Lonchura striata: one gene and its partners. The protein of the gene in region 3 interacts with the protein of the main gene of each other region in a biochemical or structural test. Links are inferred from orthologs where the notes say so. Each region holds a gene or a part of one and is shown on either strand. Other genes may lie near its edges. The genes, in order: FGFR1, FGFR3 and FGF9.

Region 1 (10,264 bases), on a different chromosome or scaffold from region 3:
TCACCCGGTCGCTCTCCCCGCTGCCGCGTGCTGTGCGTTCCCCGACCTGCCGCGGGAACCGGCGCTTCCCTTCGCCGAAAGGCGTTGGGCTGAAGTACGCACTGTTAAAAACAGTGAGTAATAATCGTCGTGAGTAATAAACTGCTACTCATCCTCCCCACGCACTCGGTTCCTGGAGCTCTGGTCTCTGCCTCTCCTGCTCCAGTGTGAGACCCTGCGCTGCCTGTGCCCAGAGTGGTGGCTTTTCCCCAGGGATGGGCTGAGCAACCACGAGCCCCAAAGGGCTTACAGCCTCTGCACCCAAAGGAAGCCCAGCTGGGGTGCAGCTGTGGGGGCTCCAGCTGCCTCCTTCTTGCCCAACTGCTCTGGCTGTCACAGGAATATCTGGGACCCAAACTATTGACACAAGGAGTCGGGCAGGGAAAAGGGCACCCAGCAAACACTGGTGTTATCTCCAACACCAGCGCTCCCAGGCACTGGGTAGTGCTTGGACATAGTTGTTGAATGTTCGGGATTTATCTGGGTTTGGAAAGGGGAGGTGGAATTCTTTGAGCGGGGGGAAAAGAAAGGTCTTTGGTATTTCTGGAAATTATTTTCTGTCTCTCAGTGGCTTTGTTTATCGACAGCACATGCTCCCCGGAACATGCCCTAATGCGGAGCGTCTGCGTGGGCCTCCCGAGCCGGCCCCGCGCCGAGGGGAGGGATGGAGGGATGGAGAGGAGCCCAGTGCCTCCAGTTCCTGAAAAATGAGTCAGTGCTGGCTCGCACACAGCAGAGCCCTTCTCCAGATACACCTCGGAGCGGGTGCCTTCCAGCTGATTCAGGGGCTTGACAGCAGGATATTTCCATGGCGTAGGGATGGCTCGGCAGCACAGAGCTGTCCCGTGGCTGAGACGGTCACTGGGAGGGAGGAAGGGAGGAACAGAGGGAAGGGTGCCAGGACCCAGCAAGAGCACACAGGGATGGTCAGCTTCCCAGGGCAGTGAGGGAGGGTGCAGCAGCCATGGCTTTTCTGGAGGGTAGGAGGACTGGGACGCACCCTGACTGCTCCTCCTGGAGCAGCATGCGAGGGAATCTCAGTGCTCAGAGATGCTGAAGAGGCAGCACAGACCTCTTCCTCCTTCCCAAGGGAAAAGGGGAAACTGGGGAACCCCAAGACACCTGCCCTCATGACTCCTTGGTGTCCACATGGGAAGGAGGCAAGGAAGTGGGGAGAGTGCTTCTACCTGTGCAAACAACAGCATGGCTCTTTTCAGTGTTTATAGAGCTTTTATATAAATCCCAACAGGAAACCATTTGCTCTGGAGGATGGCAGCTTGGGCAGGGTGGGTCTTGGCTCCTGCCAGGCACTGGGCACCATCCCCACTCCCCGTGGCCCCAGCACACTGCAATTTAGTGCTCCGGGGTGGATTCAAACAACTAAAAACAGAAGCAGCTAGAGAGGAGCCAGGGCTAAGTGCCCCTCGGAGACCTGCCTCCAAAACTGCAATTACAACCAGCCATTACACCCACAGAGCTATTTTGGAGTGGTGATGGACAACCCTGTGCCCATCCATGCACCCTCCAGGGGCACATGCTCCCTGTGTACCAGGAAAGATGTTCTCACACTGCCTTTGCACACCAGTGTGTCCACGAGGAGTCTTGTGCAACCTGTCTCTCACTGCCCTCAGGGACCCTGAGGGCTGCACTTTCGCTCCTCGCATCTCCCACAGCCCTGAGTCACAGGGCTGAGCTGTCCCAGGGACACTGCACAGACAGGACCTTCCCACTTGCACAGCAGATGCACCCCCTGGCTCTGAGCTGAGTGGCTCTGAGAGGGGAAGCCCCTTCCTGTCCTGTGGCTCATCTCTGGAATGCAGCTGAGGTGCCAAGCACAGGAGCTGGTGCAGGAGCAGGGTGTCCAGCCAGGGTCGGAGCCCTGCAATGCTGTGACATCTGCAGGGGAGCCCCAGTCTGATCCCTGTGTGCTGGATGTGATGGGGGTGGCTGCTGCCATGGGCTCAGTGGGGCTGGGGGGCTCTGGCTCCTTTCCTCTGCCTCCCTGCTGGGGCAGAGATGGCCCGTGGCATTCACCACGTCAGAACGTCCGGGCTGCCCTGGCACCAGCAGCCAGCGGCTAACACAGCAGGCAGGAAAAGAACAGGGACAGGCCAAATCCAGCAGGGAGAGGAGTCTGAGCTCAATTCCTGGGTCTGCACAGCATCAGGAGCCCGAGGTGGCAGACTGTGCCCAATCAGGCGCAGTCCCTGTCCCTCAGAGGGGAGGTGGTGACTGCCAGCAGACCACCCTGCCTGGCACAAATGCCCCTCAGCTCCAAAGCACATGAAAAGAGACTCCTTTTCCTCTGAGGCACAACAAAAGCAGCCCTCCAGCTGCCCTTGGGGAAGAAGGACACACCAAAGGCACAATCCGTGGGCGGCAGGAGCGAAGCCTTTCCCTTGCCCAGTGCCTCGTGCTCCAACCTGTGGCTCAGGTCAAGAACCAAGTATTTGCTGAAATAAAAGGCAAACATAACTGCACATGGAACTGTAGGGAAAACCTGTAATGCTTAAAGCAGACACATGCTTGGAAAAATAAATATCCAACTGTGCAGCATAAAGAGCATGTTAACCCTTCCCAGCTGGCTGCCAGGTCTTAGGGCTACCAGGGCCACCTCCAGCACCGAGCTGTGGGAAGGTATCCAGTGGTGGGAGAGCCTGGGACATGGGGCAGGAAGGACGCCCAGCCACACCCACAGATCTCCACAAAACCATCACAGTTCTAGAAGCATCCTCACACCAGGGATCCCTCCCTACCTCAAGACTTGATTTTCAGATATACAAAACAACCACTGATACCCAAAAATCTGTACTGGGCTGGACCCCTTGACTGCTTTGGGAGGAGACTGGTCAAGGACGAGGACACTGGGACACAATCACAGCCTGCCATCCCAGGCAGGGACAGAGACCCATTACCCAGCCCGGGAGGGAGCTGGATTGGGTTTTCACTACGTTGCACTCCTCCAAGGAAAGCCATTGAGAGGGGAAGGACACACAATTGCCATCATGTCCAGAAGCAGAAGGTCCCTAAAGGGTCAGAAAGTTGGATTTTCAGGATGGGATGAGCATCTGCAAGCAGCCATTTCCAGCAGCCAGGATTTGGGGGGGCTCCACCTGGGGCTGGAGACAATAAGGCTGCCGGCTCAGGTTATGTTTTTAGGTGGGTAGGTAAAGAGGGAGCTCCAGTTCACCTCTGGCAGTGACCCTTCCCGCATGGCCAGGGCAGGCACCTTGTGTGCAGAACAGCCCAGACGAGGCTCCCGCCGGCTGCCTTCAGCCCGGCACCACTCGTGCCTGCACCCTGCCGGGGCAGGGGCGATTTATTTTAATCCTCTGGGAGCAACACAAGGAAAAGGCAGCAGTGCGTGCCAGCCAGCGCAGGGATTAAGGGAGGAAGTGCTCCCGAGTGGGGAAGATGGCTGCGAGCCAGAGCAGGGGGCTGCAGGGCCCTCGCTCCCGCGGCGTCCCCGCGCCGCGCGGGGGGCTCTCCGTGCGCCCCCTCCCGTGCTGGCATCCCGCTCGTCGGCACCGGAGAGCCCCGGCGGAGAAACCACCGCCTCCAGCGGCGCACCGCCCCAGCGTCCCTCCGAGCGCGACCGTGAGAGCCGCTGGGTTCACCGACTGCCCGGGTTTAAACATTGCCGGGAGGGAGCTGCCCCGGCCCGCCGCGGTCCGGGACACGGGGCAGTAACTCGGTAACCCGGGCAGAACGGGAACGGCGAGGCAGCCGTGGAGCTCCTCGGCGTCACCTGAACGCACACACGCTCTGCTCCGTCCCCACACGCGGCCAGCGGCCACCTCCACGTCTCCCGGCCCCAGAACCACAAAAAGCACAACCAAACCCCTCTGCAACCGATCCCTCCGGGTGCCGAGGGTGACCGCATCGGCGCGGCGGTCACCCGCCATCGCAGGTGTCGCCGCCGCCTCCCCGCACTCCCGGCGCCTCCGCCGTGGGCGGACGAGCGGTTCCCGGAGCCCGCACGGCGCTGGGATGCGGCGGCTCCGGGAGCCCCACCGGCGCGGACACACAAAGGGAAGCACCAGCTCTGGGACGGCGTTATTCCAGCGCCTCCATTCCCGCTGACCGCCCCGGGATCCCAGAACTGAAACACACCAAACACAGCTCCTTCTCCATTTTTCTCTGGAAGCCGCAAGGCTCCCGCTCAGCTACTTTTGGGGAATAAGGGGCCAGGCAGCGACTCGGAAAACGACCCCCGATTCCCGCCAGGCTCCCCCGCGGCCGGGAGGGGATTCGGGGTCGGGACGGTGGGGGCGGTTCCAGTCTCGGTTCGGCCGATGGACGGGGTCGGACCCGCCGCCTTCCCAAACTGCTGCCCGCCGAGCGGCTGCACCCCGGGAACGGCCCGGGGCCCCCGAGCCCCGCACACCGGACCGCCCCGCTGCCCGCAAACCCCCGGGTCCCTCAAGGCGGAGCCCCCCCCGCGCCGATGCCGCCGTCGAGCCGCCCCGCCAGGGCAACGAGGCGCACCTGGGGGGGTTCGGCCGCGACCGAGCCCCGTCCCCCGACCGAGCCCCCGGGCCAGCCCCGCGGAACACAAAGCGACGCCCCGCGGTCCCGGTGCCGCCCCCCGCGCGGAGAGCGGCGGCCGTTACTCACCGGAGCCCCGCGGGCGGCGGCGGCGGCGCGGTGCCGCCGCTCCCGGGAACAATGGAGGGGAGCCCCGGCCGGGGCGAGAGGCGCAGCCCCACCGCCGCCGCGCTCACAGCGGCCGCCCCATGGCAGCCCCGGTCCGGCCCGGCCGGCGGAGGCGGCGGGAGGCGCTCCCGGAGCCGCTGCCGGACGCGCTCCCGAAGGCGCGGCCGCCCCGACGCCGCCGCTGCCGCTGCCCGCCCGCCGCGTCCCGCCGAGCGCCCGCCGCCGCCGAACTAAGCCGCTCCCGCACCGCCCCGCCGACAGCCGCGGCTCCTCCTCCGCCTTCCTCCTCCTCCTCAGCGGCCTGATGGGGCTTGTAGTCACAGCCGGACCGCCCCCCCACCTGGAGACCCCGCTGGCCTCTCGGAGTGGCGTTCCAGACGTCCCCCGGGGCTTTGCGGGCGGTGATCGCCCCGAAGGCAGGGCAGGCTGGGCTCGGGGCAGCACAGGGATGCTGGCCGTGATGTTCCCCTCACTGCTGCATTCTTGCCCTGTGGCTCTTGCTGGCACCAGGGGAGCCTCAGGCCCCGTGGGTACCGGCTGGGGTGAGGGGCCTGCCTGCACCCCCCGTTATCCCAGTGCAACACCCGGTGTGGAGGCAGCGGGATGCGGGCAGTGCATGCAGGCAGCAGGGTGGGCACAGCTCTGGGCATCCTGGAGCCCCAGCCAGCCCCTCTGCAGAGCAAGGCCCAGGGCAGATGTTTCAGAGGTCCCAAATCATCAGCCCCAAGTCCTTCCCAGGAGCCACCACTGCTGCAGTCCCTGCCCTTCCCAGCTGTTTTCACCGAGGTTTGGAGCAGGACCATGGCATCTCTAACACAGAGCTCCCCAAAACTCTCAGCACACACTTTTGGCTTAGTCTCAGCTGGGGCCACACTCAGTTCCCAAGCCAAAAGGCAGAGTGGGATATTGTCACACCAGTAAGCCCAGCGTGACTTCTGTAGCCCCCAGTATGGAAGGCCAGCTCACAGAGCCCCAGTTTGGGCACTCAGACGAGCTCCCCCAAAGCTGGACTGGCTCAGGGTCACACGGGTGGTGCAGGGCACTCAGCCTCCATGTGGGAAGCATGTGGGAGCAGTCATGAGTCCAAGTCAGGGCATCCCAGGATGAAGACATCTCCAGTCAGCAGGGAAAGACCTGCCGAGGCAATGTGTGAGTGATTAAGTTATAAGAGGGAAGAGGACAGGATGAATTAGCCCTGTCAGTCACCGGTGTTAGATTTGAACCAAATGCTGGGCATCCATCCCCAGGAGCAGCCTCCTCCTGCTTCAGGCAACCGTTCAGCTCCCCATGCCAAGACCTGTGGAATATTTCCCTTCCAGATTGACAGATTTGTGGACAGGGAGAAGGGGGGAAGGTAACACACCTGCTGGGATGTTCTCCCAGCAAGCTGGAGATGGGAAGTATTTCAGTGATGGCAGAGCCAACTCCAGCCCTGCACAAGCACTACTCATCCAGTGTACACTTAGGGTGCAGCCACCCATCCCTAGGCCTGCCTTCCTCACTGCCCAGCAGCCAGGAGCTTTGGGCTGAAGGTGCCGAGGCTGCTGGGGAACCCACAGCTGCTGTACCCTGCTATCCATGACTCCCACTAGGCTTCTGCCCCAGACTTTTCTATGCTGTCTCCAAAACAGACCTTACGGGCTACAACCCCTCATGATGGACAGGCTCTGGGGCTGCTGGTCCTTTGGCATGGTTTTCTGCATGATTGCATCAACAGAGCACCAGTTCTTGGGCCTTTATCAATAAAGGTGCTTGGAAACAGCAGAAAATGGGGAAAACCATCCCCTGCTCCCGGGAGGCTCAAAGATCTGGCTGCATCCTTGGCCTCAGCATCACATTGGGGCTCAGCACAGAAGTGACCATGAGCTGTCACCATCTGGTGTGTGCACAAGCAAGCCCTTCAGGATGGACAGGGAGGGGGAATGACCTCCTGGAGCAGGTGGGGGTCTGCAAGGGGCATGGCTGCGCCAAGGAGCAGCAGAGACCACGGAGCAAGCCAGAGCTCACTGTGGCCCTTTCAGGGCCCCCTGCCCTGCAGGGGTTGGGGCAGTTCCTTGGCATCAGCAGCCCATGCTGGGCCCCTGCCCTTCTCCTGGACCAGGGCAGGAAGCGTGTGATGTGCAGGGCTCTTCCGTGGACACATTTGCATTGGTGGTGCAGTTTTGAGGCTTGGGAGGCCAGAGCTTGGAGAGCATTGTCATGGCTGAGGGTTTTTTCTTGTCTGAGGAGGAACAAAGGCATTTGGGAAGCAGCTTCCCTGGGACATGGATCCCAGAGCCCACAGCTTGCACAGCCTCTGGCAGACCCCCCTTCCTCCCGCAGCACACACGGGGGCTGTACCTGCTGGCCCCCACCTCTGCCCTCCCGTGGGAGCACGCACGCCCCAGCTGTGTCCCTGCACGGAGTCACACACACGTGTGCACACGTGTAGCCCCTCCAGCCCCACGTGTGCCCATCTGCACACTCAGCTCTGTCAGACTGCCCGCCTCCACTTGCCAGCCCAAGGCCACGGGGTGGTCTTCATCTTCCTCCTCCTCCTCCTCCTCATTTGCTGCCTCCACACGCCGGCTCCCAGCTGCGGCATCGGAAGCAGCAAAATCCACCGCAGGCAAAGCTGACCCGTCCCCGCAGCTGGGAGAGCAGCCCGTCCTCCCGGGCTGGGGAGAGCAGCCCGTCCTCCCGGGCTGGCTTCCCCACGTCCCCAGAGTGCCGGACTGTGAAGAGGGGGCACAGAAAGGGCTGAGCCGGCAGAGGAGAGGCCCTGCACAATAGAGCGGCTCCCCCCTGACCTTGCCTTCCCCGTGAAAGATCTGCAGCTCTCCCCTCCTCCCCACTACAAAGGGGCTCCTTTCAGCCCCTAATTCTGCATTTAGAAAACAAAAGCAGATGCATCTAGTTTAGGTTTGGAGAGGGGGAGGCAAGAGCAAATGCTGAAGAACAAAGAGCTTTCCCTGACAGATCTGACTGACAAAGACTTTGTCAGCTCCATCTCTCCCTGAAAAGGCTGGAGCCCATCAGGGTGCGGGGCTCCTGGCAGGCAGCTGGCGGCTCCCAGCCCGGCCAGGAGAGCACACGCGTGTGGGACGTGCCCCAGCCCCGCGGGGCAGAGCCGGGCGTGCACATGTGCTCACTCGCGGTCCCAGGGACGCAGCCCGGGCCTGGGGCTCGGGCAGGACACGCCTGTGTGTCCCCAGATGGGAACCAGCACCGAGGGCAGGCTGTGCCCGTGTCACCCTCTGTGCTAATTCCCAAGACATGGCTGGTGTCTTTTCCCACTCTCCGCTCACAGCCAGGGCGCAGGGTTTGCTCTGCACCCTGCAGGGATTCCAGGTGTCGCAGGGTTTGCTCTGTAGCCTGCAGGGATTCCAGGTGTCGCAGGGTTTGCTCTGTAGCCTGCAGGGATTCCAGGTGTCGCAGGGTTTGTTCTGCACCCTGCAGGGATTCCAGGTGTGTTGCCTGGCCTTGGCAAAGCGCTTCCCATCATCTGGAACATCTGGGTCACAGAGAGCGCCTGGCACGCTGCCCCAAGGCTGGCAGCTCAGCAGTGGCATGCAGGGATGGGGTTTGCTGATGCCATCTCTGAGAGAACTCGAGTCCCTCTCACAGGCCACTGTCCAGCCAAGACATTTGGACCCACACTGGCTTTTTCTTTTCTTGGTTTCCTCTCAACACCATAACCTCCCCCACCCACCACTACTTGGCTGCTCCTCTGGGAAACACATTTTTTAGGAGTCCCTGCCTGCCAAACTGCCCAAACATCATCTTCTTCTTGGAGGTGAGGACCTGTTCCAGGACCACCAGTGCTTGGGGCACCACAATTGCACTTTTAGGAGACCTGGCAGGAGCTGATGGAGCAAGCTCAGCCAGGGACAGCAGAACACCGATGCCACCCAGCCTTGCCTTCAAAGCACCCAGCCCAGCTGTTTTTGCCACTTCTTTGACATTCCTGTGGTATCTCATTTTCAATCACAGCTGATGAAAGCTCTCTGCCCCATCACAGGGCTGAGAGTCCTGACAGCCTCTGGCTGGGACAGGACAGCTCCTGATGGTCCTCACAGCTTGGGACTGACCCCTCCAGCCAGGCAGGAGCTCCACTCCCCTGCAATTGTCACATGCCGAGGGGCTCATTAAGACATCACATGATATTTTATTGTCTGCAGACAGCAGTCAAGGCAGGCAACTCCCCAGCAGTGCTTGCAGCCAGGCCAGCACCCCTGCATGTCCCCAGACTGATATCTGCCTGCCTCCCGAGGCAGAGGGACAGGGGAGATGAGGGCCAATGGTGCTCAGGGCTCTGCATCCTCACAGGCACTCCTGGCACCAAGACAAAGCCTTCCCCACACTGCCAGAGCTGCCAGGTAAAGGGCTGAGCTATCCATCCCAGAAACCTGCTGCCCGAGAGTCCTGCCAGGCTCAGCTCCCTGCCCTGGGCAGTGCAGGCAGGCAGTTACTCACTGATGGTGCATCAAAGAGCTCCTGCCCACGGGGAGGCTCTGGTTTGCTGGGAGGTGAGCAGGTGCCCCTGGAAGAGCTGCAAGGCTCACGCTCATCCTGTAGGATGATTATCTACTGCAGTCTATCTCCTGTACTGGGAGAGCTTGACTTCTGCCCCCGATTGATTTGCAGAGGGAAATTAATTATGTTTGTTTGACATTGCCCCTCTGGCACTGAGGCTGAGCTGCTGTATGAATGTCATTCTGTTCCAGCCCAGCTTGCTCGCAGGGCTGGGATGTTTAATAAGCTGTCCCAGGGGATCTCCAGCTCTTCCCATCAGTTGCCCTGGTGCTTGATGCATGCCGAGGCTTCTTGGGCTCCTTGAAAGTGCCCACACACCCAGGCAAGTTCAGAGGGCTGGAATGGAGCAGAGCATCCTTGAGCTTGCTGCCTGTGGGCTGGAGAAGGGACGGGCTCCCCTGTGGACACCTGATGGCTGCCCAGGGCAGCGACTGTCTCTAGAGCCAGGGCAGGGCCAGGACACTGCCCATCCTGTCCCCTTGGCTCCCCACCCTGAGAAATGCTCCTGATATCTTTGGATTGGCCCCAGAAGATCTCCAGGGGCAGATAAAGGTGCTGAAGTCCATCAGAGCAGCAACAGCCACCTCCTCGGCTGTTATCTTGTCTTCACAGGGGGAGGACGCTCCAGATAAGAAATGTCAGTAGTTCACAGCCTTTATAGTGATACAGGCACAAGACAAATCACTTGGGGGTTCTCCTCAGATGAGGACTCTCTCCCTTTATCACACCCCTCCAGCAGTACTCTCAGCACCCACACATTGTCCTCTCCCTGCTGGGAACCGGGGACATGGGGACTGGTCCCTGGACCTGGTGGGATCCCTGTGAGTGTCCAGGGCAGAGCAGCCTGGGCTGGTGCAGAGATCTGTACGGACATGGGATTTGCCTCTCCCATTCCTGTGTGCGACAGGGCTGAGAATGGAGCTGGCAGCTCCTTCTCTCAAGGCCAGATGCATTTCACCTTCTTGTTACTGCAAAGATTCTTCAGCTGGATAATCTGCTAATGGCATTTTCTGCACGCTGTCATTTGGAAGCCCAACAGCAGCTCCTTCCAGTG
Region 2 (9,846 bases), on a different chromosome or scaffold from region 3:
ATGGTCCCACAAGCCAAGCTGCAGACCAGGAGTTGATATTTGGGAAGGCATTTTGCCTTCCTGGGTTTTGGAATGACAGAGTGTACCACAGGGATAATAACACTTAACTGTCCCCTAGAGGATTATCTGTTTGTGAAGATCCTCAATTGTTTTTCCTCTGCAGAGCTGCTGGACATGCATACTGAATCTGGAATATATGTTTGTTGCTTCTTATTTCAAAGGCCAGTAAAAGCTGTGGAGTCACACAATCCTGTAATACATCCTGCATATTTAATGTGCTGATTCATGTTTGATCCACCCACCCTACCTCTGCAGCAGAGTACACTCACAGCAGAGCTTGCACCATGCCCTTTGGAAAAATAAAACTACCATGGGAATTGCAAGAAGACAGCCTCTAGATGTGGCTGGGTTGGTATCAGACACAACACTGTGTCAGCACTGGCTTGAGGGAGCATACAGGCTGTATTAAAGTAGAATTGAGCATGACTGAATTTGAGCTTCCTCCCAGGTAAGTCAATCTTACACTGAGAAAGAGCTTGCCTAAAAGTCATAACAATAATAACTAATATTGACCATAATTCTGCTGTCCTTTATAGACGGAAAACCTGAACTTGTATTTATTTTAGGATGTTACTGCTTGTTCTGAAAGTTCCCATGCCACTCACTACTCATCCCTTTCCCTACCTTGGAGTGGGGCAGAAGAGGTGAAAACCCCTGGAGAAAGGAGAGCCACCAGACAATAATACAGTGGGGCCAGGACCTGGGGTAGAGTGCAATGTGTGTGAGCTCTAAAGGGCTGCAGAAAAGGGAAATTTCTGTAACCCCTGCTGCAGGTGAGCAGTCAGGGTGGATGGGCAGCTGGTGCCCTTTGGTGGTCTCTGGCCACATCCAGGAGAGAAGACTTCAAAGGCAGCTGTTGGACTCCCAGAAGCTCATCTTGGCAGTGTGTGATTTCTCCTTACAGGCATCAGCCTGCACAGTCTGCTCAGGGATTAAACAGGCTAAGGCTTCATTGCAAATGCCCCTCAAAGTGAGGTGCCCTGCTACACCCCAAGGGCAATCCTGCTGCACACACATTTGCCTGAAATATCCTATGTGCCCATGGCATGAAGAGGTCTGGCAGGCAGCAGTGATCTCTGTCTCATCCCCTCCAGGCTCCAGCACGCTGCCAGGGTTTGCTCCAAGGACAGGCAACACCCAGCTCGTGCAGGTGGTCAGTGACACCTCTGAGAGCACTTGTGACCCTGGTGCAGTGCCCTGGCTGCACACACACAGCTGCTGTGCTGAGTCAGCATTATTTCAAGGTCTGATTTTAAATCCCTGCTTCTCAAACCCTCCACAGGCTTGCTCCAGTTATTTGTTTTTGTTTTTGTTTTTGTTTTTGTTTTTGTTTTTGTTTTTGTTTTTGTTTTTGTTTTGTTTTGTTTTTGTTTTGTTTTGTTTTGTTTTGTTTTGTTTTGTTTTGTTTTGTTTTTTCTCAACTTTCTCCAATTGCCTGCTTTGCTTTCCAGGCTGACAAATTATTTTACCTCTGCCAGCACCTCCCATACAAAGCTCTTGCAGAATAGATCCAGCATGCAGCTCCAGTTCACTTGTTCCTTCTTATTTCACCTCAGATAAAACAACTCACTCCTTCCCCTTATTCCTTGTCTGTTCCATGCTGTTCAGTGGGAAACAAATCCAGCAGGATAAGATTTTGTTGCAACCAGCTCACAGAGGGTGCAGGCACAGAGAGATCCTTCACAAGGTGTTTGTCTGTTCACAGTGTTTACCCTGACAATCATTTGGAACCTTAATCTTAGCAACAATGACTTTCGAGCTTGAAATTCAATAAACCAGCCTGGAAGTGCAGTTCTAAGGGCTGGCTAGCTAATAAAAAGCGGTTTAGCCGTTCCAATGCACCTTATTGATATAAATGGGTAGTGACATGAGCTCTGGAAAATGTACCCCAGTGCTGGCATCCACTGATGCTATTTAACCCTTGAAGGTTAAGGGTGAACAGCTTGGATTCTAGTCATGCACACTGATACTGATCTCTGAACCAATATTTCAATTCAGTTCTGTGTGAACTTGTAGCATTCGGCTGGGCTGAAGGAACAGCGTGTTACAGCATTGTGAGGCCACAACACCCAGTCTGGCTCACAAGTCAGCTAACAAGACCCAGTTTTGATAAGAAATATTTGGGAATATTTATTGTGTGTACCTAACCTGATATGATTCAGCAGCTTAAGTGACTGAGACTCTGATCAAACTTGCCAGCATATTAAAATTTGAATTAAAGCTTCACCTACTTCAGTGCTCTGTTCTAACTCAGTATTGATTCAGGGATTGCTTTCTGCTGGCTAAGGAAGCAGCTCCTGTGAGTATCAGATGTATGGGGGCAATTTTTGCAAGATCCTTGTTGAGGGCAGCACTGGTGCCTGAGCCTTCTGGCTGCCATGCTACATCTGGCAGCTCAGATGTGCAGGGGAGAGCTTTGCACAGTGCACGAGGTGGGCTGCAGGAGAAGGGAAGTGATCACAGGCTTTCTGACAGCAATGTCATCAAGGCTGACATTGGCATGAATAAAGCCTCTCTCCATGCTTCTCCAGAGCCTCAGTCCTGAGGGCTTTGGGACAAGCATCTGACAGCCCGTCCTGTCCCCATCTCATAGACAGAGAGGCAGAAGGGACTGCTTAAAGCATTCACACCTGGAGCCAATTTTGGTCCCCTTTTTTTGACAGAACCCTTCATGTAACTTAATTTGAGACTATCAACAGGTTGCACTTTAATAGAGAGAGATTAGCAGCCTCCCTCTAAGGTAGGGCTTTGGAGAGGCATGAAGGGAGGGAGGGGGCTTAGCCATGCAAATGCCCCCAGGGCCTGCAAGGCTCTGCAAAAACTGTCCCAGGGCATCCAGTCTCCGTGGCTGAGCCCCCAGTGGGGTCTGGGCAGATGGAGGTGTGTGACAGTGACAGGCTTGAAGCCACTCACTCAAAAAAGGGCTACCACTCACCATCCCTGAGCTGCTGAAAGGGGCTTGATTTTCATCACAGGCAGCTTTAGATATTAAAGGGATAAACAAATATAAAGGTCTGGGAAGGGAATTCTTATAAAGGGTAAAAGGAGAACAAACATGTTGGCAGAGAAAGTATCCCTGCATGGAGGGGAGTGCATATGCTCCTAGCCTGAGGGGGAAGAAAAACTTTGGGGCTAATATATGGCTTATGGCATAACAGTGCTGAAATAAATGCAACTGTGTTGTGCAGGCTTTACTAGCCTATGTACATGGATTTTTTTTTTTTTTTTATAGTAAGAGAGTGGCTGAGACACAGTCCAGAGCTGCAGTTTTTGCTGCACAGCACTACATCCTGGGCTCTCTTACAGTGGCCACCACTGTGACAAAGCAGCATCAAAAAAATCTGTACTTAATCGGGTCTGTGCTCCCCAACACCACATGAATGTTCCGCATGGTTAATAAATAGGAAAACTAAAAATATCCTGCTGTAGGGAAAACTGCAAACCTTGAAGTTCTTCATACAGGACTATCTTAATGCCCATTTGATTTCCTGTTGTAAAGAGCTTCCAAATGTTATAAGCTCTTGGTTTTTTTTCCAAATGAAAACCAGTTCAAAATCATTAAAGGGCTGAGCTAACTTGATACACGGTGCAGACCTTCACATCTCCCAGTAACCTTAAAACTCTCTGGGTTCAGATTTGCTGTTTCCATCCTGTTACTCCTGGAGCAGCATGAGAGTTTTTACCCTTGCCTGACAGAAAGCAACAATCACTGTGGCACTTTTAAAACTCAGCTACAGTGTGAAAAACCTCACTGAATTCTCACCGACGTTTTTATTTTTTTCTGCAAACTTAGGAAAGCTCCTGGTCCTCCTTTGCTGCTCTCCTCTTGGAAAATTGAGGTAGTAATAGTAACAATACTAACAGCAATAGGAAAAATAACGCTACAACAACAATCCTACCCTGATGGCTTTACTTGAGAGCAGAATTTGGCCCTGCTTTTGCAATTTTGCCTTCAAAGTAATGACGCCAACAACTCCTTGTGCAGTGTTATAATTATGCTGCTGTTGTTTTAATTTTTTGTGATTTTCTGGCACCTCCAGCACAGCAGTTATGACAGCAAACATTGTACAGCTTGACGTACTGCCAAACCTTCTCTGTGACGGTGAAATAAGCACATTTTATTTATATGTCTGCTTCTCCCTCCGTTGTTTTAATTTAAAACCGACAGTGTCACTGGCGAGGGTCTCCACTGACATGTAGGATTTCCTCGCCGCAGCCCCTTTCAATGCTTCCCCACACAATGCCACAGTATTGAGATGTCAGAGTCTCTGTGCCTGATAAAGGTGTCAAGAGAGATCCCGGCTGCGGCGACGACAGCGCGAACGCCGAGCCCCCCGCGGCGGCCAGGAGCGATCGCCGCCGCTCCCCTCGCTGCAAGCCAAAGCTCCGCACCGCCCGCCTTTCCTCTCACCCAGAAAAACTCCCCTTGACTCTAGCGCAGGTTGGGTTTTTTGGGCCCCTTCTGCAGGGCATTTTCAGCTCTGATAATATCTGCGTCTATTTTCAGCGAACGAGCTGCTGTGTCAAGTGGGATTAAAGTAGAGCTGTGACTTCTCTGTATGAGGCAGATCAGCTCGCTGTCAGCAGTAAGTGATGCGTGTCGCTTCAGCAGCTCGGCCGTGTCGGGGGTCTCTGAGATGACCACAAAAACCCGAACTATAACTGTGATAGTGACTAGATCATTGCAGTGGTGACTGTAAATGTGACTAGATCCATCTAGTCAGACTTTATTAAAACAGCTACTTCAGTTGGCAGAGGAGACACGCAGAGAGCCGTGGAGCCTGTCATGATTCCCATACACGTATCACAGCGATTATGGGTGTGGGGGAGTGAAGTCAGGGGGCTCGAAGCGGGTGGCTTCACTTCGGGGTACGGAGTGGCAGCCATGGAGGGGAAATGGGTGCATGGGCCATCTGCTGCTCAGGTGCCAGGCTGAGCCGAACTGCTGCACGCACAGAGCTGTCCCCATCCCACGCATCCCCCTTCCCGCCGCCTCTTCAGAAAACGCGCTGTTCCAGGGCCAGGAGAAGGGGACGCGCGGTGACCGCCGCGGGATCCAGCATGGGAGCACCGCGCCAACTTCAGTCTCACGTCTGTGGGAAGCGGTGCCGCTCCGCCCCGAGGGCTCGGCGGGCGCAGCCCCGCGCGGCTCCGGCCGCCCCCCCGCGCAGCCGCGGGGCCGGGCGCGGAGCGGCGCGGGGCGGGCGCGGCCCCCCGCGGCGGCGGCGGCGGGGCGGGGCGGGGCGGGGCGGGCGGTCCGGCCCGGCGGGCGGGGACAGCGCGGCCGCCCCGCTCCGCGCCCGCTGCGCTGGGAGCAGACGCAGGAGCGCCGCGGCGGCGGGCGGGCGGCAGCGGCGGCTCCTGCGGGCGCTCGCTCCCTGCCTCCCTCCCTCGATGCGCGGTGCGCGGCCGGCCGCGGGGCTTGCGCAGGTAGGCGCCCCGCCGCCGCTCGGCGCACGGCTTCGCCCGGCCCCCTGCACTTTTTTACTGCTCCCACCGCTTTTTTTTCCGCCTTTTTACTATTATTTTTCCTGTTCCTCCTCTGTGTGGGCACTAGGGGCGGGGGGTTTTCTCGTCCTCCTCCCCGCGCTGAGCGCCTCTCTCCTCTCCCGGCAGCGCGGCGGCGGAGCGGAGCGGTGAGCGGCGGCAGCATGCGGCGGCCGGGGGATGTCTGAGGCGGGCGGTGCGGCGGCGGCCGCGCTGCCCCGGCGCCGCTCCGGAGGCATGCGGGCGGCCTGGGGCTCCGTCTGGTGCCTGTGCCTGGCGGCGGCCGTCGGCGGGATGCCGGCGGCAAGGCGGGGCGGCGGCAAGGCGGCGGCGGCGAGGAGCGGCGGGCAGCCGGCAGGTAAGGGCTGCGCGGCCGCGCACACACGTGCTCTGCGGGGACGGCCCGGCCGGGTTCGGCGCTACGAGTCCCCGTCCGGGAGCGAGCGGAGCGGGGCGGGTGGATGGAGGCCGCTGGAGGCGGCGGCGGAGCGGGAGTTACGAACGCGGGCCCGGGGCGGTTCCACCTCGCCGTGGATCGGGGTAGTCTGAAAGCCGCCCAGAAGGGACAAAGTGCTTTTAAGAGGATCCCTGTCTGCCAGGAGTTCTCTCAGCCAGGCGGTGCATGGGGCGCTCCGTGGGTAACAGCTGGGAAGATGCTTGCGTGCGTGTGTAGCAGCGCATCTTCGGCACACATCGGGAATGCTCTGACTGCGTGTGTTCGGGTGGGAAAAGTAAGGAAAGGTCATTTATGTCCTCATCTTGGGAGCAAAAGGGGTGTTGCCACAGCTCCGGGTAGGCACAGGCTGGGTTGCAGCTGAATGAGCGGCCGTGCTGAGAAGGGAAGTGCGTTTCGGGAGAGCCGGCGAGGATCTCCCCTGGAGTGGCAGCACTGCAGTTGCAAGTGAAAAAAAGTTAACACGTCGGGCAAAAGCTGGGCTTTGCTTTTTTCTTTCCAAGTAATATACGGCGGGTTTGAAGCATCGTGTCTCTGTGATCCGCCTCAGCTGCTACCTGAGTCCCTGTTTATTTTTCAAAGCTCTTTAATGGAAGGGAGCCCCTTCGCAGCCCCCTGTCCTCCGGTTTGCATGTACCCGGCAGAAAGTTTCCATTGTTCAGGAAAGGGTTCGAAGCCTGTTTGCCAAAAAAGTGACAGGGGAATAAATGGACTTCGTGGAGGCTGGGGGGTAGGGGGCATTACTTTCATACCCCTTTTGGTTAAAGCTATAAATCACACAGGGGGTTGGGTTTGTTTTTAAGAAAGTCCTAATAAAACACCAGATTCTTAGTGTAACTCGTTTGGCTCATTTTTCACAGCCAAAAGAATTGATTTATGGGGCAACATGGCAGGGACTTGGTCAGAGCAGATGAGGTCGGTGTGCGGAGGGCGGCGAGCAGCCTGTGCTGGCCACAGGGCTGCGAGTGACAGAAGCGAAGTGTCCCCAGTTCTCTCTGGCTTAGCCTGAGGTCCGTGTTGGTGCTGTCACTTTTCAGACACAGTCGATCCCGTGGGGGTGAGCAGCAACCTCGGTGGCTGCCTCAGTGGTCCCTGGGCTTCTTTCATTCAGCCCTTAGCTGGGGTCGACGATGTGTTAAGTGGTGCTAAACCCCTCCCGTGCTCTACGATACTTTGGCAAGTTAAAGCTTTGGGATCCTGTTGGAATCGTAGCAAGTGGCATACTCGGAGGTCACACAGAGGGAATCATCCTTCCAGTGATGTCTGTGAAGTGAGTGATGGGTTGGGGTTTCCAGGGCCTCCCGTGGAAATCCTCGGGACAGTCTCTGTTATCTCTTGGTCAGCATTCTCTAAATGAAAGATGTCACTGTCAACTCTTGCTCTGCGCCCTGGAATGGGATTCAGGAAACCAGGAGGGTTCCCGTCAACCCCAACCCCTAGCAACGTCTTGCCCTGTCACTGTGAGCTATTGAAAACTCGTGTGGATGGGAAGTATGAGGGGAGACAGAGCTTTTCAGTGCCAGTGGCTGTGCCACCTCTTCCACGTGCGTGGGGACGCGTGAAGCCACTGCTGCTTCCCCAGCTCTGTGCCAGAGCCAGCGGCTCTGCCACGGTCAGGGCACCCGCTGCCTGTCCGACCTGGGGGGGAAAGGTTGTGCAAAAGAAACTGTAAAGAATATAAACCTTCAGAGCCGAGTAAAAACACATTTTACTTTTTCAGTCTTTTTGAATTGAATGGTAAAAAGCAAATTCTTTCTCCTAGTCAAATGGGCCATGGGGTATTGGCTCATTACTGAGGGTTGTTGTTCGCTGGGCTTTGCATTTACAGTCTAAGGCCTTATTTTCCATAAAGGGGCTTGGAAGGATTTTTCCCCAGTGATCTAATTCTCCGCACGGGGCTGTGAAGGCTATAACAGCTACTGCTTTGTGCCTATACTCAGCTACATAAAACACACATTGAAGGGAGGCATTCTCGAGGTATGTGTATGTTTGCTAATATGAATACTGGCTATTAGCGGAGGTGGAGGGGGTGCAGGTTTTAACATCTCCGCAGGGAGGTGTTCGGCTGTTGGCAGGAAGGAGGCAGATGGCGGGGCTGTTGCTGAATAGAAGCTAAACTAAAAACACCAGGGGCCTCATCTGGGCTGAGTTTCTCTTCTCTCCCGTTCTCGGAGCTGCTGTAGGAAGAACAATGTCAAATTTTCCCCCTCCCTCTTTTTTTTTTTTTTTTTTTTTTTTATGAATGAAAGTAAGAGAGGCGAGGCAGGATTGAATGTGTATGTCATTCAGGGGCTATGACAGAGATGATTAGGGAGGTCAGTGAACTCCTTTGCAGCCTTGAGCATGCGGTCACTCTATTCAGCAGCCACAGAATAGACATCAATATAAAAAAGCCCGTCCAATTTGCATTAGTATTCAGATAAAGATATTACTTCGTACGATTTGTGAATGTCAAGTAATGCTGGCTGTTTTCTTAAGAGAGCAGCCCAACTGAAACAGCAGCATTTAACTTTTAAGAAATTCTGATAACCATCCTGTCTCCAGTAACTGGCTTGTGTATGTGTCTGCACACAGTATATGTGGAAAAAGGCAGTTTCTGGGCTCTTTAGGATTTGTGTTGCACTAGTTAGCTGTGAGGCTGTCTGAGTGCATTGAAAGAGTTGTATAGAGAGCTGCTAATGTTTGATCAGGTTTGTGTGGGGAGGGGAGGGGAGGGGAGAGCTCTCCCAGTCTGTCAGGAGCAAGAACCAAAGTTTCCTTGTGCAAGGAGTGGAATTGTCACCCAGAGTTAATACTGCACAGGCAGTTTTTTTCCAGAAAAACAGAACAAGTACTATTTGGAGATTTTGTTGAAGTTTAGTGGGAGAGCATGTACCAATTCCTATGACATTTTTTGTGTGGAAAGAAGTGGTGATGTGCTGGCCGCAGTGTTTTTCATGCAGCTGATGGCAACTGGGCTCTTGCAGCCTTCCAGCATGAGCTCAGTGAGGGGTCCAAGGTGTAGGATATGATCTGTGTCACTTTGCTTTGTGTGTGTCTGACTGTTTCAAAGTTCATCCTGAAATTATAGGGGTATTGAAGTGAGTGCCAAATGGCACTGGCTGTTCCTGGTGCTGGCCTTGGGGTTTATGTGTTCAAACCCTCTGCAAAGAGTCTCTCATATATTGATGGTGCTGCTTACTTTGTGCCCTACACCAGAAACCTTTAAGATTTAGTGGGTAGCTGTGAGTGATAGTTTTGAGATTAAAACTTGATCCATTTGTTCTCATGAACAGCAGCAGCTAAAGAGCTAGTTAAGTCTTTAATATTGAGACTAGCCTATTTTGTTATATGCAATAAAATGAGAAATAAAAGATGATGAAGCATCAGTTCTTAAAAAAAAAAATCTATTTCTTACCTTGCAAATAGTGAACTAGAAACTAAACTCTGTTGCAGTGCAGAGATGGACTCAATATATTCAATGGCAGCTGTATAACATGATGCTTTCTACATATATTGACAAGGGTCACTCCAATTAAATCTGAGGATTTTTTTCTTTTAATAAAGACTTTATTAGCAACTGCTGAGTAGGAAACATGATGAAAGTAAATCTGAAAATTGTGTAGCAAAGTGTTGATCTGCTAATTAAATTATGCAATTAAATAAGCCGCTCTGACTGGCATGTTAACTTTTACAACTCCCTCCAAAAAAATCCTTAGTGCTGTTTGGGAAGGTGAACCTGTCCTGAAGCTTGACTGAACGTGGGTGTTGAAATTAGGTGAACACCAAAGAACTCTTCATTATGGCATTCCCACTGTATCCAGACAATTTCCATACAGTGGGACCAAGTCTGCAGGTTCGACAAA
Region 3 (10,058 bases):
GCTGCGGTGCGGGGCTGCGCGGAGACACGCGGGGCCGAGCGCTCCGCCGGGATGCGTCCCGCCTGTCGCAGCTGTCACCACCCCGCCCGCTCCCACACATGATGCCAATTAAAAGACGGGAGCGCAGACAGACACAGCATCCCCAGGCAGCAGGGCCCTGCTTCGGTTTCAGGCTTTCGCAGCGCCCTTGCCTGCCCCCCCTCGTCCCCTCCCCTCTGCCACGCTCAATAGCGGAGGAGACTGTCGGGCCTGCTCGGCGCCTTTCCCTCCGCCTAAAACCTGTCCCACGATTCCCAGTCCCGGGGGCCAGGGCCTTAGCCGCATGCATCACCTTCCCCCCGCCCCGCCCCGGCCTGCTGGCTCTCCCCAGAGACAGCACGGGGCGGGGGCAGGCCCGCCCACCCGCATCCAGCAGCAGAGGGGCGGGCAGCCGCAGGGACCCCCGTCCGGAGCCGCCCCCGCGCCCGCCCGGCGCTGAGCCCGCCCGGCCAGCCCAGCGCCGGAGCAGGCGGGGCGGGCGGGCGGCTGCGCGGCTCCCGCAGATGATGAACGCAGCGGTTCCTTGTAGCAGCAGGTCCCGGGGAGCGGAGGTCACCTGCTGACAAGCTTCTTTTTTTTTCCTTTTCCTGCATGCTCCTATTTTTTTAATGCTGTGCATGCAGTACTTGTGCTGACGCACAGAGACACGCCTCTCCGCTGTTAAAGAGTTCCTGAATTTACAATGACTCTACTGTCTAGCCAATGCCCTACGCTAAAGGAGACTGCATCAAAAAAATTTCTTTTGTGACCCGGGAGAGATAAGGCTTTGATTATCTGAGATCACATTACGGGGGGGACCCAGCCGAGTTCTCTCGGGGAGCTTTTCTTTTAGAGATGGACATCTTGCTGCAGGAATTGCGAAATGCCAGGGCTCCCAGAACCGGGCGAGTATAGACACACAATATGGCTCGGTTCATTGTACGCAGTAGGCACGCATCCAACATAGCATCACAAAAGAATTACTCTTATCTGATGTCTCTCCAGAGGTGTGTGAGGGGAGGGGGATTCCCACAGGGCAGAGCCCAGAGAGGAGTTTACGCGCGGCCCCCGGGGTTTTCTCTTTGTCCTCCTTATTCCTAGAGAAAAACTTCCTTCTGACGCGTACCCCCGCATCCACACACGCTCATGCAGGTTGCCCGCACACGTGTGAGCCCGCTCTCCCCGGGGCAGCTCCCGAAGTTGGGATGCAGACCTCCCCAGGATCATCAGAAGACTTCAAAATCACCAAAACTCAAATAGCACCAGCTATTCTGTGACCTTCCGGCAAACACAACAGCAATGTCACGGCACGGATACAAAAGTACCGAAACCCCTTCCCTCCCGCAGAGAAGCTGGGAGCCCCACGGGTTTGCCGTGCCCGGTCTTCCCAACCCCGGAGTGAGCAGGGGCATCACCCGCGCGCTACATGCGGAAAAGAGTTATCACCGAGGCGTGTCCCGATGGGGGGGAAGAGGGAGATCAAACCGACCAAAAAAAAAAAAAAAAAAAAAAAAAAAATCTATTTAAAGCCAAGGCGCTGCAAGGGGTGGAAGAACTGACCCTCGGAATTGTCAGCTTCCTACAACTGCGGCTGGAAAGCCATTTTTAAAAATAGACGCCACGAATAATGTGGCCACCGCCGCCTTGCGAAGGGAACAGCTGGCGGCCCTCCTCCGGGGGCGGCGGGGCCCCGCGGGCGGCCGCCCCCCGCCGCCCCGGCTGCCGGTGCGCGCAGCGCCCTACACCTGCTGCGGCCCCGCTCCGCGCCTCCCCCGCGGCCCCGCGCAGCGCCGCGCCCGCCGCCCCGCGCCCGCACCGCAGCGGGCAAGGGGAACATGCGGCGGTGGCTCAGCAGCTACGCGCGGCGTCTGCCCGTGCCAAGGAAAACGCCTAGCTGCAACACCCACCCCCTCCTCACCAGCCCCATTCCCCTCACTACGCGTCTGCCTTAAACACTTTCCGCACTTTTTCTCGCCAGTAAGCGTGGATGTTGCGCCCCCGGGAGAGCCGCGACGCTGCCCCCACCCCGCACCCAGCCCCGGAGACCGCGGGCGCGCGGCGTGGGAGGGAGGAAGAGCCTGTAAGAAGCGTGAGAGTGTCAGGGAGCAGTGGATGGAGGGGGATGGAGGATGAACCTGCGACCATGCGAGAGCGTCAGTCCTCTCCTCCCCCGTCCCTCCCTCCCCGCTTCTCTTATGAGCCGTTTGGAGATCATCTCCTACAACACCAGCATTATCTAAATAGCTTCACAAAGCAATAAAATGCAGCTTAGATATCGTTCAACATCTGGCATTAAAATACAAAGAGAGAAAAAGAATCAACACAGGACTTTGTTTTTACGACCGAATTTAAGCGTTGTCAGGTTGGTTCACTCACAAGTTAACTCCTTCCAATAGCTGGGAGCGTGGCGAGCTAACCTGGCATATTTTCCGCACCCCTCCTTAAAAAAAAACCCCAAAGTATCAGCTCAGCCAGGCTGTTTTAGTCACTTTCATACATTCAATCTGCCGGGCCTTTAACAGACCCCCGGCAGCCGAGAAGCTCCAGGCTCACTGGACTCGCGTGTGCATGTGCATGTGTGTGTGCATGCACAGGCTCTCCGGAGCGGCCGCGGCCAGCAGCCCTCCAGCCCTCGCTGCTGAGTCACAAATAGTGTCCCCTGGAAAGGAAACCCAGGGAATGCTCTTTTCAAATTCTCTGCCAGTCTGACACGCCACGCAGCTCGAGAAAGGCAGGTTTTGGCGCAGGATTCCCCGCTGGTTCCGAACCCCACCTGCGCTCCCTCTTTCCAGGGGCGCCTGTCACCGGCACTGCCGCACGGCTGCGGGTGCGGGCTCGGGCGGGCGGAGAGCCTGGCTGCGGGTCGGCGTCCGCTGCCGCGCACTCCTCGCCGAGCAGCGAACCAGACAGGGTGTGCAATTCGGGAAGTTACTAGGGCAGGTAATCGGCAGAGAAAACGAAAGAAAAGCCCTCGTCAATTTGCGTATAGGACGAGAGCCACTCCCTCCAGGAAACTCGGTGAATTTTAAATTGTGGTGGTTAATGATTAAAAACCCTTTAAACTGCGAAATCAAATCATTCAGCAGAAACGTCCCGAGCAAAAATTCCACCACCACCACCTCCCAGTACGCGTCTGCTCTTAAGCAGAACTTGGGGCTACACAAACATCGCTACCGAACACCAGGCAAGGGTTCCTGCTCCGCCGCGGTGGTGCCGTTCGTGTACATCTGCACCCCCGGACACATTCATTTTTCCCCTCGGCGGATCAGCCATCAACACAAACCACCCTTCCCGCCCGCCTCGCACCCCCCACCGTCCCCCCGCCCGCAGTTCTGCCCCATTATTTCATCACATGATCACTAAAGGGTTAAGGAAAATACCTACCAAATCTGCTGTGGTCTTGCCTGGTTCCCTGGATAGTACCATTGGGGAAGATTTCTAAATGAAATCCAGTCCTGCAGTATAGCTGCCTCCGCCTGAGGATCCCCTTTAAATGGTCCAAGTCCGTGACCGCAGGCCCCCTGGGTAGCCCACCTGCCTCAGACTGACCCAGGTGGTCACTTAACAAAACCGGACTATCCACCGGCAAAACGGGCACATTCCCAAAGGGTACTGCATCCTGCACACCGAAATAGTTCCCAACTTCACCTAAGGGAGCCATCAGAAGATTCTGCTTTTAGAGAATGAGAATAAACAATAATGATGGTGCCAAACCCAGGAGATATAAGATTAGGTATATTCCACTCCTCTCCCCTCCCTAGCGCAGTTACAGAGAAAATGTTCTTTCTTCAATCCATTAAATGCATAAATAAAAGTAATATTCTGTTTTGACTGGTACAGGTTCAAGGTCAAACCAGTTAGTCTAAGAAACCACCACTTTATACTCACACACTGACATATTTATAAACATATAGATGTGTATATCTATATAAATGCATATATCCCCAGCTCTTAGCAAGCAATAAGGTCTTCAGCCCATCCAACTGTAATAAAGAAAAAAATCCGTAGTTTCTCCATTTGGTTTAAGATAAGAATGACCATAGCAACTTAAATACCTAGGCGTTATAGGGATTTTTTTTTTAAGATGCACAGGCTACGTCAGGATTTATGGATTCTGACTCCAGAAAGGCATGCGCTGTTTTTACTCTATAACAGACTGCATACATCAGCATGAATCCTGCAAAGGGGGAGGGGGGAAATCTCACGTTGTTGGCTGAGATAAATCCAAAAAAAAAAGGAAAAAAGAAAAAGGAAAAAAAACTTTTGACGTCCAAATCTATTATCCAGAATTCTCAGGAGGCTCAGCAGATGTCCACTGGTTTAGGATTATTGACGATCCACAAGCAAAGCAGCAACATACAAGTGCTTGTGTCTTTCTTGGCTGGCTCGAAACAGGTGTTGCTTCTGCAGGGCTCCCTGTGAAATGTTGTACTCCAGCACTGAGCTGCAGCTCTTGACTGTGGATCTCCATCCAGCACGCAGAGTGGCGCAGGAAGAGGCATTGGGCTGGGTTTAAGGTAGTCCTGATTGCTGCTGGAAGGATTCTGCGAGGTCCTAGCGCTCAGCCCTACCTGCTGCAATACCGAGCCGCTTCCAGCGCTCGGCACGGCGCGGAGCGGCTCTTGCCGCTCTGCGGCAGCGCGGCGCTCGCCGGCAAATAAATAAATAAGTGGGCGAAACTTTGGGGGAGGAATAAAGCGACGCGATGCTAAATATACCGCGCCCGCCCGCTGCGGGAAGCGGGCTCCTCGGGAGATGCCCGCATAGCCCGAGTCCCCGCTGACATTGGCGGGGGGAGCGGGGCGGGCAGCGCCCTGCCCGCCCAGCCGGAGCTCAGCCCGGGGCCCGGCCCCGCCGCAGGGGAGGCGGAGGCGAGCCCGCCCCGCACCGCTCCGCAGCCCGGCCCCGGCCCGCTCTGCCGCAGGTAACCGGGCTGCCGCTGTCCCAAGCGGGGTTCAAACTCAGCTCCGGCGATCAAAGCGGCGGGGCGCGGGAAGTTCGGGAGCTGGGGCGGGTGGTGGGGTTCGGTATTGCCCACGCCGCAGTTCTCCACTCTGGCCCCCCGCCCCGGCAGTCCGCAGCCTTCTCGCTCTGCCCCTGCGCTACCGGGGGCACTTTCGGGGATGCTACTGCCGGTGCGGGTAGAGCCGGGGCCCTGCCACCGCCCGGAACGCCCCGCGGGCCACCCGTGGCTCCTCGCTCGGCCCCGGTTTGTAAGAGCGCGGTGGAGGGAAGGGAGAAGCGAGCAGGAGGTGTTATGGGGGGAGATAGGGGTGCAGTGCGAAATACGTGTTCTCTTTGCCCCCAACCCCTCCCCCGTCCCCCAAAATGAAGTTATTTGAAACTGTCGGGAGGGACTCGGCAAGCGGAGAGGTTTCTGTTTCTTCTTATGATGCCCAGAATTGTGGTTTTGCCCTTCGAAAAGAGCTGCGTGAATCAGCAAAGGGACAGAAGGTCTCCTGCACTTGCAAAAGCGTTCTTGAGCAGAGCTCAAGGACTGGGCACGATGCGGACCTTGCACGAGGGAGAGGACACTCTGGCAGCCCCTTGAACTGAGCACAAAACCTAAAGACAGGCTCTTTTGGGAATAGTGGTGGGAGAGAGAGGTAGGGAGAAAAGGAGGAGAAACATATCTTGGGAGCTGGGGTAAGAGATTGCATAGTGTGAATGATGATGTGCACCTCTGAGGTAGCGGGGTCCAAGAAGGTCGTTGGTGGAGCCTGGAAAGAGAACTCTAGAGGAGGAGAATTTTGCAAAGGGGTGAATTAAAAATAATTGATTCTGCATGTCCTGCTCGATGGGCATGCGGTGGAGGGGTTGGCTCTCTTTGCCTTCCCCATCATAAAAGCCAGCAGTCCAGCTCTGACTGGTGCAGCTTTCCTGCATCCCTCTACTTGCCAATGTGACTAAACACAAAAGGAGGGAGAGAGACTACTTTCCATGTCTAGCAGGAAAACTGCAGCAGGGAAAAGCTGTGTCCTGAATCCACACAGACCTTTAGGGAACTGACTCACACCAGTGGTGCAGAAGTCACCCCCCCTTTTTATTTGACTCTAACAGTCTTTATTGCAATTTGAAGGACAGGATGCAGAAGCTTCAGAGCAGGGTCATATCACTCTAGTTCTGTACAAACCTACAAAGAGTTGCTCCATATCAGCCCATGCATTTCAATATGCAGGAACAGAAAAAAAAGCCCAACAGCAAAGCAGTAAAGTCCTTGCACTCCACAAATATTTCTGAAGCATTTAGCTTCTTTTTTTTTTTTTTCTTTTTTTTTTTTCTTTTTAAGGATTTAAGGACACTGCTCTCACACACTGGTTATATCAGCACGAACAACTGCAGAATGACTTGGGAAAAACTGCAGAACTCACCATGTCAAAAATCATCATTCTTTATCAAGTGGATCATGGCAGTACCCAGAGGCCCCGTTCAGGGCTCATAGTTCCGTTGTGTCGGATACTGTAGACACATGTAATAAGAGAGATGGTCTATGCCCAAAGAGCTTATGATCTTAACCCATGATGAAAGACAACAGGTGTATAATACAAACCCATGGGGGAAGGATAAGGGAAAAACAGCCTTGAGAATAAAAAGCAACAGGCCCAGCCAGTGACAAGTGTTTGGTGTCAGAAGGAAGTTTTAAGGAGATTTGAAGGAGAACAATAAAGGAGCTTTACGGTTATTAATAGGGAGATTTTTCCATGCATAATGGCTAACTTGGAAGAGAACATAAAATCGCTTGTTAAAAATTTGGACAGTGTAAAAGTAAAGGTTTGTGCCACTGGTAAAGCAGAGGGGAATATTGCCAAGTGACCATAAGGGCCTGGTATCTGTTGTGCTCTCAGGAAAGAGGTTCCCAGCTCCTTTCTGGTGCTTTAATTTACATTTCTAGTCCCAGTGAAGAGTATTATATGATTTTTTTTTTCTTTATTCCAGGCTTCAGGATTTTCTATCTTGTACTTCACATCAGCTTACCTTATGAAAAATATCTTAAGGCAAAGAAGAAACTATTGGTGTAGTTGCCTTTTTTTTTTCTTTGTGAGGGAACTTAAATTAAAGCCTAAAGGTTATTTGCTATAGGAAGTTTAGTGTTATAAAAGTGTTATCTAAGTTGAGGCTTTGATGTTTGAATTACTTATAAGTATCAAAGCCACACATGAATTATGCAGGACATCCCCAAAATTATACCCATCTGTGAGTAGGTGGTATTCCAACCTTGCTTCACATAAAATCTGTGTGTGATGTGTAATGTCAAACTTACCCCTTACAAAAGTTTGGCATTGCTGATAGCTGGGGCTGTATTAAAAACCTACACTTTTATCCCCAAGACACTGAGGCAGGAACATCCCTAGCTCCCCTCTACTCGAGATTCACACCCACTTCCTTTATACCCTCCTGGAATTAAAGACTGCATCTGCCACAGTGAGTCATCACAAGCTTACTCATCAGCTTAATGCAGGATTTGAACTCCTGAGAGCAGAATTGGTCAGAACGATCCTGCATTTCTTGAGGAGTTCCTGGCACACATTCTCTTCACATGTACCACACTAATGTGGCACCTCTGTCAGGTTATAGATATTATGACACTTTTAAAAGAAAACTGTTTCACCTGTACTCTGCCACCTAGTTTAGTTTTAAAATATCTTTTCACATATAATTTTTTGAGTATCATATAAAAAATAACTCAGCCTGCCAAAACAGTTTTTTTCTTGGGTTTTATTTTTTTTTAACTCCCCTCGTATAATTTCACCAAGAGCAAGTTCTTATTCTGGACCTTTAATGTATCTAACTCATTTATTTTCCAATCTTGCAGACAGAGAACTGAACGGCTTAGTTATTAAAAAGAGAGGTGTTATGACTTTCCCATGAAACACATAGCATTTGCCATTTTTACTAAAATGTCTTGAGGCAGAAAACTTTGAAAAGCTTTTTTTTTAATATATAAATGGTGAATATGATAAAAAGTAATGCTATTTTCAGTTTTCTCAACAAATAAGAATTTTAGGGTATTTCAAAGCATGACAAACTTGGATATAAGACTATTAATTAATCTCATCTCACTTGAGGCTGCTAGAATTGAAACATCAAGATATAAATGATTTGTTCTTTAACACAAAGAAATAGAAGCAATTTTAGGGCACAAATCATCTGACCTATTCTAGGCATCTACTTTAGGATAACATGACTCATGCGTTAAAGATGCTTAATTCTTCCTCGTGTATGGAGGAAGCCTATATTTGATGTAGACTTCTACATGACAGAGGTCTAGATAGGACTGCATAGATCCCACCTGCTGCCTTGTACATGTGATTGAGCATTTCCCCAGAATGGCTGGTGAGGGCACTGAACTATTAATACAGCTACACAAATTAACACTCAAAAGAAAACTGATGTGATCTCAGCAATGAAAAATGACTGAAAGTCATGATTATCAAACATTAGATTGACTGGAAATAAAGAAAACATTTGTCAAAACAAAACAAAACAAAACAAAAAGCCATAGGACTCAGGTTAGCTGGATTAATAAAAGAAATGTCTACAAATTCAGAAAATTTAAACTGGAGGAATGTATTTGCTTTCTCATTTTAGAGACTGTAGGAAAAAATAGCAGTATTGATGACCAAAAAGATTCCTATAAAAAATTCCAAAATTAAGCAAGAAAAGGCCAGTTCATCAAAATTTTACACTAGTGTAAAACATGCAGTTTAGATGGAAAATTCCTGGAAAACACCAGTGTCAGTGTCACCATGCGATACACAACAGCAGTGGGATATTTGACATGGTGTTATGGTATTTTGCAGTGTACAGGAATTAGTGAATCACATAAACAAATACTGGCAGAACATGATCTTTGTCATCATCCTAGGGAAGGAGTTATTAGGATAAAGTAAAGTGCATTGACACAGGTGTCAATACAGTCTTTTTGAATACATGTCCTTGTTGGTGATACTTGAAGATAGATAGGGTGATGTAAGAGTGAAAGCTGCCAAATATGTTTGAATTTTCTGTGATGTGTTTATTTATACATAGCTTGTATCTGCTGATTTTAGTAATGAATTGATTGTCCACTGTGTTGCAAGTCCGTCCACCTCAAGAGCCAAAGTGCCACTGATTGAAAGGAGAAAAAGGGAGTAAATCAGTGTTGCCATGTGTGCAGGTGACCACAGAGGCCTCAACGTGGCACGCAAGTTGTGTGGCAAGGCTTGCAGAACTGCTCATTTTGAGAACTTCTTTGCCACGGCCAGTGCTTTTCTTCGTGCACCTTCCCTGCCCAAGCACACAGCACCTCATCAGAGGTTTCTGCCTCCTTCATGCTCCCATATTGTCGGTGCTCAGTTGTAGCTGCAGTCTCGGCAGGGCTTGCTAGCAGGCTGCAGGGCATCCTGCAGGCTCTTCCCTTCGCTGATATTTTTCCTCTGTAGATAGTTCACTGCCTGAAAGTGAGGCTGCCTTCGTACACCAGCCAAGGCACACTGCTTGACCATCAGCTGGATGCTAATTACCAGTACCTGGACTGGAGCTGCCGACAGCAGCCAGGTCCTTGCCACCTTGCCACGCAGGGAGAAGGCGCCTGTCGGCACCTGCCCAGCCCGGCAGGAGCTGGGTGCGTGCCCCACTTACCGCTCCATGGGCGCTGCGGCAGGCGCGGCAGCAGCCCGGTGTGCCGTCCCCCCGACGGTTTAGGTCCGTGCCAGCTCCATGATGGCTCTATGCCCGCTTTCTGGAACGGCCAAAGGCCTTAAGAGCTTTCCCGATGGAAGGGCTTACCTCTCCCTCCACGACACCGTGGCCACCCAGGACATTTCATGCCGAATGGCCCCGAGCCCAGGCCTGCAGCGGCCACCCGGAGCTGCTCCCCACGGGGCCGCATCGCTGACCCCGCCGGGGCAGGGGGGCCGGGCGCGGCGGGCCGGGGGCTGCGGACAGGGGCAGCCGCGCTTGTGCGGGGCTCTCTTGCCCTCTAGCGGGCGAAGCCAGCGGGGCGGCCCCGCCGTGCCCCCGGCCAGCGCTGCCGTGCCGGGCCGGCGCCCGCGGCCCGC

Evidence for each region.
Region 1: the proteins of FGF9 (region 3) and FGFR1 interact in a biophysical measurement, tested with the Homo sapiens proteins (2 studies listed by BioGRID and IntAct, with this or other methods). The link is inferred for Lonchura striata from reciprocal best matches to the Homo sapiens genes FGF9 and FGFR1.
Region 2: the proteins of FGF9 (region 3) and FGFR3 form a complex in vitro, tested with the Homo sapiens proteins (3 studies listed by BioGRID and IntAct, with this or other methods). The link is inferred for Lonchura striata from reciprocal best matches to the Homo sapiens genes FGF9 and FGFR3.

Annotation. Positions count from the first base shown.
Region 1 is NC_134634.1:4,489,204-4,499,467, forward strand, and holds the start of FGFR1 (fibroblast growth factor receptor 1), read right to left. Parts: upstream 4,696-10,264; 5' UTR 4,657-4,695; intron 1-4,656. UniProt on the Homo sapiens protein: Tyrosine-protein kinase that acts as a cell-surface receptor for fibroblast growth factors and plays an essential role in the regulation of embryonic development, cell proliferation, differentiation and migration.
Region 2 is NC_134606.1:8,142,722-8,152,567, forward strand, and holds the start of FGFR3 (fibroblast growth factor receptor 3), read left to right. Parts: upstream 1-5,414; 5' UTR 5,415-5,490; intron 5,491-5,676; 5' UTR 5,677-5,727; coding exon 5,728-5,905; intron 5,906-9,846.
Region 3 is NC_134604.1:71,332,146-71,342,203, forward strand, and holds the start of FGF9 (fibroblast growth factor 9), read right to left. Parts: upstream 4,660-10,058; 5' UTR 4,224-4,659; exon of another isoform or gene 4,074-4,223; intron 3,689-4,073; 5' UTR 3,680-3,688; coding exon 3,403-3,679; intron 1-3,402.